Linked DNA regions of Rattus norvegicus. The main gene of each other region encodes a partner of the protein of the gene in region 2 in a complex. Links are inferred from orthologs where the notes say so. Each region holds a gene or a part of one and is shown on either strand. Other genes may lie near its edges.

Region 1 (3,731 bases), on a different chromosome or scaffold from region 2:
CTCTCTCTCTCTCTCTCTCTCTCTCTCTCTCTCTCTCTCTCTCTCTCTCTCTCTCTCTCCCTCTCTCCCTCTCTCTCTCTCTCTCTCTCTCTCTCTCTCTCTCTCTCTCTCTCTCTCTCTCTCTCTCTCTCTCTCTCTCTCTCTCTCTCTCTCTCTCTCTCTCTCTCTCTCTCTCTCTCTCTCTCTCTCTCTCTTTTGGTTCTTTTGTTTCGGAGCTGGGGACCGAACCCAGGGCCTTGCGCTTCCTAGGCAAGCGCTCTACCACGGAGCTAAATCCCCAACCCCAACATTCTCTCTTAAAATTGCATTTTACACTTTTTGCAGGAGTACACGCGGGTGTGCTGCAGTACATGCGTGGAGGTCAGAGGACAATGCGAGAAGAAAATAGGTTCTCCACCGTGGGGGTGGGGGTCCCCGAGGATCGAACTCAGTTACTAAGGCTTGGCAGGAAACGCCCGTACTCGCTGAGCCCTCTCATCGGCCCAAACTACTATTTTGACATTCACCAATTCAAACGTAAAACGACGGATCGGACTCGTTCCCCGCTGCTTCAGAGGCTGGGTGATGGTGGCTGCGACCAAGTTTGATTCAGGCTTCAAGTTTATCAGTTAGAAATGGGGAAAGCTTTTCAGCGCAGAAAGACACCGGTCTGCTCTGGAACGCCGTGAACACACTCTGCGGCAAATACGTTCCTCTCCAAGGTCCAGCAGTCCTGGCACACAGGACGCCCAGCCGGAGGCCGTGGGGTCCGGGGCAGGGAGGTCCTTATCAATCAGGGTCCTCTCAGCACCCCTCTGGCTTCACCCGTCACTCAAGACTACGGGGGCGGAGCCTGAGCGCCGGAGCGAAGGCGTGGTGCGCTGTCCAATGAGCACGCGCGGATCGGCTCCCTCGCGGGATCTGGGTTTCTTACCCCGCCCCCTCAGGGATTTGATTGGGCGGCTGGCCCGGGTGCTCCGCCTTCGTAGAGCGGTGACGGTCACAGCCAGGCGCAGCCGGGACCCGGACATTTACAGGCCAGTGAATGGTGAGTTCAGGGTCTCGAGATCCGATACGGGCGGAGGAGCTGTTGGAACCGGCTGGGACAGGACTCGCGCTAGCAAGGCGTCTGCGCCACGGACGCCTCCGGTTCCGCTTGGCTGGCTGGTTCACTTTCGATTCGGCCGGGTTCTCCTCTGCCCTGTTCGGCTTGGTCCGGTTCTCTCCGGCTTGGCTCGGTTCTCTCCGGCTTGGCTCGGTTCTCTCCGACCCGGCCATCGCTACCCTCGGTCAGCCAGAGACTGCAGCGGGACCCGGGTGCCCCTTCGCGTCCCCGAGGCGACTGGGCCCAGGGCTGGCGCTGTCTTCACTCTGTGCATTGACGACGGGCGGCTCGTGACGAGGCTCCGGGTTCCGGTGCTGGTCCCCAGCCGGTCCTCGTCGTACGGGAAGCCTCCACTCAGGTGTCTGAAGTGAATCTGGATTTGTAGGTCTCATTCCGCTTCCTCGGTTCGAGAAAACACTATCAGTCCACCTGTCCTTCATTCTGCTTTTCGAATTTCTTAGTTCCCAAAGAAATGGATGACACTTGAGTGTTTTGAAGGTTTGTTTTCTAGTCGGGCGTGGTGGCTTGGGAAGACTGATGCAAGAGGATCCCAATGTTTGAGGCCAGACTGCAAGTGACAGCAATCCTCCTGCCTTTAACCTGCTCAGTACTGTACAGGCTGTTTCCCCTTCTTTTCCTTTCCCTTCCCCTCATCTTGTCATCTTGCACTTTTCTCATACAGTAAGGAATCCTTTAGCCAGCGCTGCGAGGGACACGTGTGTTGTCTGCAGTCGCTGGTAACCGCTTCGTGTGGTGGTGGATTGGATCAGAACGAGGCTGAGGAGCCGTCACCCTCAGCCTGGGACCGCTGAAGTTTTTGTGTGCTCTTGGGAAGCATGCCTGGATGAAAGAGGAGTCCAGAGAAAGGGAAGATAAGACAGGAGTGCACCAGCACAAGAACATAACTTTGAAAACAACCGAGTTTTCTTGAACTGTATACCTTCAGAAGGGAGGAGGATGATCCTGTCTCTGCCCACCCTGACTGTCCTCATCCCGCTCATCTCCCTGGCGGGCCTGTTCTACTCCGCCTCTGTGGAAGAAAACTTCCCAGAGGGCTGTACCAGCGCCAGCAGCCTGTGCTTCTACAGTTTGCTTCTGCCGGTCACCGTACCGGTGTACGTGTTCTTCCACCTGTGGACTTGGATGGGCCTGAAGCTCTTCAGACATAACTAGGGTAGCTGAGGCCCCGCTTGTGCACGGGGCAAGAGGCTCCTGGTTGTTGGGTTCTGCCCTCAGGTGTTGCAGATTCTCCTGTTAGTGCTGTAGCTGAAAAACACTTACAATAAATATGTCCCAAGGGAGAGGAACATGACCGGTCTTCATCCGAAGACTGTTTTTTCTAAGATTTATTCTTAATTATGTGGATATGAGTGTGGGTCCCCAAAGAGGCCACACGAGGGTTGGAGGTACGAGCAACTGTAAGACTGCCGGAGCTTTACTCAGATCCTCTGCAAGGGCAAGCAAGTTCATGTCCTTAACCCCTGAGCATCTCTCCACCTGCCTGTTTCCTCCCTTCCCTTAGTTCTGGCTAACCTCAAACTGTGAGAGGCAGACCTTGACCTCCTTACCTTCCTGTCTCTACCTCCTGAGTGCTGAAGTTATAGGCAAGCATTGCCGCATGTGTTTATGTGGTCTGGCAGAACCCAGGTCGTGAACGCTAAGTCGGCACTCTGCCAGCCAACCACCCTGAGGACTGTGTTGTTGTTGTTGTTGTTTTGAGTCCATTCATTTAAAAGTCCGTCATTTGGAAGCCGAGCAGTGGTGGCACTCACCTTTACTCCCAGCACTCGGGAGACAGAGGTGGATCTCTTGAGTTTGGGCCAGCACAACGAGACTGTAAAAATAATAATTTGGGATTTTGTTTCAGCTTCAAGGTCAGTGGTGAGGTGTTGGATCTGCTGAGACAAGGGTTTCAGATGGTTGGGAACTACTGTGTGGGTGCTGAAGAAAATCCAGTGCTCAGGGATGACTCCTTTGAGGAGCTGAGTGGTCCGTAGGTTGGTGGCTCACAACTGCCTGTATTTCCAGTTCCAGAGGCTCTGACTCCCTCTGCTGGACTCTGGGTACCTGCACACCTGTGACATGTCTATTCATTCACACACATTAATAAATTTATTTTTAAGAGGGAAAAAAATCTGACTATAAACTTACCTTCATTGTTTTTTCTTTTACATTTATTTTTTTTCTTTTCTTTTTTTTCAGAGCTGGGGACCGAACCCAGGGCCTTGCACTTGCTAGGCAAGCGCTCTACCACTGAGCTAAATCCCCAACCCCTCTTTTACATTTATTTATATGAGTACACTCTAGCTGTCTTCAGACACACCAGAAGAGGGCATTGGGTCCCATTACAGATGGTTGTGAGCCACCATGTGGTTGCTGGGAATTGAACTCAGGACCTCTGGAAGAGCAGCCAGTGCTCTTAACCACTGAGCCATCTCTCCAGCCCCTACCATCATTTTTTCAGTGTCAGGTGAGCAAGGTCAGTGTTGGTGTTTTCTGGTTCTTGGATTCTTATTCAAGGAATAAAGGCCCATATACAGATTTTCAAAGTTGCAAGGAAATTTCACTCAAAGCAGAGCTAGATCAGGCATGCAGATACATGAGCCTATGGGGGCTCTTCTTACTCAACCACGACACCTGTTCTCCC
Region 2 (4,535 bases):
CAGAGGTCCCAGGGACTAAACCACCATTCAAAGAGTACACATGGAGGGACCCATGGCTCCAGCTGCATATGTAGCAGAGGATGGCCTTGTTAGGCACCAATGGGAAGAGAGGCCCTTAGTCCTGTGGAGACTTGATGCCCCAGCGAAGGGGGATGCTAGAGTGGTGAGGCAGGAGTGGGTAAGCACCCTCATAGCGGTAAAGGGGAGGGGTACAGGGGGAATGGAATGGGGGGATTGTGGAGGGGTAATCAGGGAGATATCATTTTAAAGGTAAATGAATAAAATGACTAATAAAAAAGTCTGTGACATATTATTTCTTAGCAACTTCTTTTCACAGCACCTAACAGTTTGCTTCTGCATTCTACATGTTCACTATTTCTCCACAGAGAAGATATAATTGCATTTAGTGGCTTAAAGGGGAACTTGTCCTCTCTGGTTTTGACTGTCTATACACAATCTTCTTTCTGTCAACACCCTGTCATTGTGGGCTCCTTTCCTGCTGTCTCCGTGCAGTAACAATAGGTCCTGAATGTCTCTACATGCACTAACTCGTTTAATCTTCAAAACAGTCCTGAAGCACACACGTCTGTTTTATACATGAGAAAGGACTCATTTGTACAAGGGAAGTGAAGACAGGTTTCAAGCTACATCAACGGTGATGGTTTTTTTTCCGTTAAGAATGAAGTGTTACAGCTTTGTAGGTCAAGACTGGGATACAGTCACTCCTGAAGAGAGGGTTTGTGCTTTCCCAAATGCTTCTGGTGCTGAACAACGATGGGAAAAGAGATCTTTCCCCTACTCTGTTGTAAGTGGTACTAAGAGACAGCACACAGCACATGGGGAGGGCTCTTCCTGCTCCTTAACCTCCCTCCCCACCGTTTTGCTTCCTGGATTTGTTTTCCTTACCTGTATTCTCCAACTATGTGGAAAGCTCAATGAAAGCAGACGACGAGGCTTGGCTTGCTTTGCCTTTCCCTGGCCTGTAACACTGCCTGGTACATGGTAAGTGCTCAATAAAGTCTTCCATTAGTTTTTGGTTGTATCTAACATGTTTGTAGTCTCTAATCCTTAAATCCTCTTTGCGTAGGAATTTACAGAAATAAACGGCAGCTAATACCTACTCAGCAGCCTCTTTTCATAAATCACCCGAGTTAATACACGAGTCAGAGAAGGTCCTTAGTACAGCGAAGCCTGCAGTGCACCTGTTCTAATTCCAGTCCCGTTGCTTCTTGGCTTTGATCAAGTCACTGAAATCCAGTATTCCCATCTTTACACTGAGGAAGCAAGGCAGCACCTACTTCACAGGCTCACTTCATGCAAAACAAAAAGCTCTCAGACCAAACAATAATTGCACGAGAGCCCATAACTGAACCCAGTTGTGGCTACTTCATTCCACCGATTCCACTACACTACGGTTAAGCTAGGGTTTTGTACTTAGGAGTTGGGAACGACACTTCCACATATACATTCTGATTTCTATCTAGTCCCAGAAGGTTGGATTGTGGGCATTCAGTTTTCTACCACTTGATTGCCTCATATCTTCCAAACTTTTTGAGGGACCTTTTGTTTTGTTTTGTTTTGTTTTGAAGCCTCAGTGGCCTCATCTATAAAATGGAACATTATGGTGATCAATGTTAAGGGTATGCTGTTACACCTGACCTCTCTGGCCCATTCTCTTCACTCTTCAGCTCCAGTTTTGCTTCCTTGGAGCTATAAACGCCTCACTTTTTTTTTTTTTTTTTGAAAAACCTTCACTGGTTTTCATTCAGGGACTCTCCTCATGGTCCTTCCTGACTTATTCTGATATAATTACCAGGGAGTGCCCTGGAAGAAGCTAACCATAGTCTCTAAACCTTCCAAGGCTCTCCCAGGGCACTCAACATGCTCTCTGAACTGTGGGTTTACTATTCTTCTCCACAGGACGATGACCTCAAGGGTTGGGACCAGGTTTTATTCACATTAGCATCAAGCCTGGTGCTAAATATTGGGTGATTTAACCTGATACTGGATATATCAACTGAGCAAACAAACGGTACCCTTCAGGACTCCTTAAAAGTAGAAAGAATCAACAGGTCACATGTGTACGTTCTATGGACAAATGCATTATTTCCCGGTCCTCGAATACTAAAGGTCCACTAAAGGCCCTAGCCATCCATCATTCCAGTACTTACTGAAGCCAAACTGAGAGCTTAGGAAAAGAACAAAGCCATAAATCGCTCTTTCTGGCAATGGCGACGGTGAATTTTCCACCATCTTCCCTGTGGCTTTAGACAATCTGTGGAGAAGGAACACAGTCGTCGTCAGACATCCCTCCTCCCCCCCATCTCCCTTCACCATTGGTCTGTTACATAATCTCATCACTTGCTGCGGACATAGCCACTGCGGATGCTCACACGCGCCCGCCCCAAACAAGGGCCCCTTCGCGTGCGCGCGCCCCTGCAGATGGGGAGGCGGGAGCGCGCGCTGCGGGGAAAAAGCGCACCTCGGACCCTCTGAGACGAGGAAGGGGCCCCAGGCCGGACCAAGGTCCCGAGTCCTGCCCGCTCACGAAGGGCTCTCTCCCTGCCTACGTGACGTTCAAAGAAAACCGAAAGCCCTGGACCTAGAGTCCTTCAAGCACCAACGCCCACCCGTCCCCACCCTCAGCCCCTCGGCGCTCAGCCCATTGCGCAGGCGCGGCCCAGACACCCGCATTGGGGGCGGAAAGAAAAAAATAAAAAAACCTGAGGAAAAGCAGGGGCTGCCAGGCGCCCCCGCCGCTTGGCGCAGGCGCACGGCGTCCGCAGAGCGGGGGCTACCGCGGTCTCACCACCCACCCAGCCGAGCTGGGGGGGGGGCGGCGCGGCGACTGCGCATGCGCGCCTCCAAGCCACGTGACCCGCCCGCCTCAGGAGCGGCTCAGCGCTCGCTCTGCGGGTCTGGTTGACGTGGAGGGCCGGAGGCGTCGGCAGCCCGCGTCCGAGGCTCGCGGGCTGCGGGCCCGGGTGAGTGCAGACCCTGCGCGCGGCGGGGCTCCCGGAAGCGTCTGCGCATCCCGCCGCAGCCGAGATGCCTGGGCATCGGGGCGCTCCACACCTCCCTCCGTGGGTGTGTGGTGAGTGTGGGTGTGCGCGTCGCCGCGGGTCTCGCCGAGCGCCCGCGCGCCGAGGGGGTGTGGCCGCCCTTGCCCCAGTGGGTGTGTTCCCTTTGTCCGGTGTTCCTCGTGCGTCCGTAACGGTAGGAGGGGGCTTTTGGTGCGCATCGCCTGGCGCGCGGGTGACATCCCCAGCCGTGTGTCGGCTGCCTCATCCGGAGCGCTCGGAGACGCTCCTCGGGGTCTGCGGCTCGCCCGCATTGTTCCTATGCTCGCCCTTCCCTGCGGTGGTCGCCCTTCCCTGCGACGGCGAGGGCGTCCCCATCCTCTGAGGGTGGTTTTCCTCCCATCACCTTTGTCACTCCCTTCCCTGTAGTGTGCGCGCCTCCGCCTCAGCGCGCGCGCCCGCCGCTGCGGCTGTCTGCAGTGGCGGGCGCGCGCGCGCGTCTTCGCGGGTCCCCGAAGGTGCGCCGCGCGGGGGGCCTGCGGCATGCGCGGGGTTGTGCGAGCGAGCGCGCGCGTAAGGCCCCTGCTCTGTGTGTGTGCACGCCTCCCCCTCCCCGCGTTCCTGGGAGGACCCGGGAGGGACGCCGAGCTGGCCCCCACCCACCTGCAGCCTTGTCCTACGCCTGCGCAGGGGCTGCTGCTCAGCAGTGCTGGCGACGTCATTAAGGCCTGGGCGGCCATCCCATAGTGGGGAGGGGACAGGCGTGGGGGGCGCAAAGGACCAAAATGAAGCCGAGGGTGTGCTGGTACCCCTGCACGGTGCCTTTTCCAGAAGCTTGTAGTTTCCAGACATCCTTCAGTTTGTAGATTATTTCCACAGTATGTGCTTATGCCTGTCACCAGGCGATGGCTAACACTGGTTATTGCAGGGTGTTTTATAGCAGCCATAAACAACTCTGGATTCCGGCGGGGGATGAGGATGGTTCAGGGAAACGGTTGAAATCATACAGGTTTTACTGCTCTCTCTGGGGCAGTTTCTCACAACCACAGCTCTAGTTAGAACACTTATATCAAGAATTTTGTATTTTACTTTAAGGAAAATGGGTTCGTTATATGGGAAGACGTCCCTAGGGATTCAGTTGTCACTACTGTGCTTGTCAAGGGTTTGTGCTTTGCGCTCAAGGGCTGCGGATTCTCCTTCTCTCTTGCTCAGTTTCCTTATTGTTGCCTAATTTTCCCTTTTTCTCTTTCAATTTCTGGACTACCTAAGAGATTAAACACAGGTAGACCTAATCAGCCAGGCCATTTTGTTTATTATTTATTCTTTTTTTTTTTTTTGCCAAATTTACTTCAGATTCTCCAAAACAAACAAACAAAAAAAAATTTTGGAGATGCTGAGAGTTTGACCCCCTCCTTACCTAGAGATAGCCACTGTGTTCAGGTTTGTGTGTATCATTTCCGTGCATAATTTACAACTTGATAATGGTGAATATATAAACAATATATAGTATTGATT

The links.
Region 1: Pigp (region 2) and Pigy share a complex: the UniProt entries of both Homo sapiens proteins name them as parts of the glycosylphosphatidylinositol-N-acetylglucosaminyltransferase (GPI-GnT) complex. The link is inferred for Rattus norvegicus from reciprocal best matches to the Homo sapiens genes PIGP and PIGY.

What each region holds. Positions count from the first base shown.
Region 1 is NC_086026.1:28,964,659-28,968,389, forward strand, and holds Pigy (phosphatidylinositol N-acetylglucosaminyltransferase subunit Y), read left to right. Parts: upstream 1-1,766; 5' UTR 1,767-2,041; coding exon 2,042-2,257; 3' UTR 2,258-3,218; downstream 3,219-3,731. Other genes in the region: uncharacterized protein Pigyl1, read left to right, coding at 372-581, 817-1,455. UniProt on the Homo sapiens protein: Part of the glycosylphosphatidylinositol-N-acetylglucosaminyltransferase (GPI-GnT) complex that catalyzes the transfer of N-acetylglucosamine from UDP-N-acetylglucosamine to phosphatidylinositol and participates in the first step of GPI biosynthesis.
Region 2 is NC_086029.1:47,155,917-47,160,451, forward strand, and holds the start of Pigp (phosphatidylinositol N-acetylglucosaminyltransferase subunit P), read right to left. Parts: upstream 2,851-4,535; 5' UTR 2,724-2,850; intron 2,670-2,723; exon of another isoform or gene 2,483-2,669; intron 2,374-2,482; exon of another isoform or gene 2,359-2,373; coding exon of another isoform or gene 2,254-2,358; coding exon 2,172-2,253; intron 1-2,171. Other genes in the region: E3 ubiquitin-protein ligase TTC3, read left to right, coding at 3,049-3,094. UniProt on the Homo sapiens protein: Part of the glycosylphosphatidylinositol-N-acetylglucosaminyltransferase (GPI-GnT) complex that catalyzes the transfer of N-acetylglucosamine from UDP-N-acetylglucosamine to phosphatidylinositol and participates in the first step of GPI biosynthesis.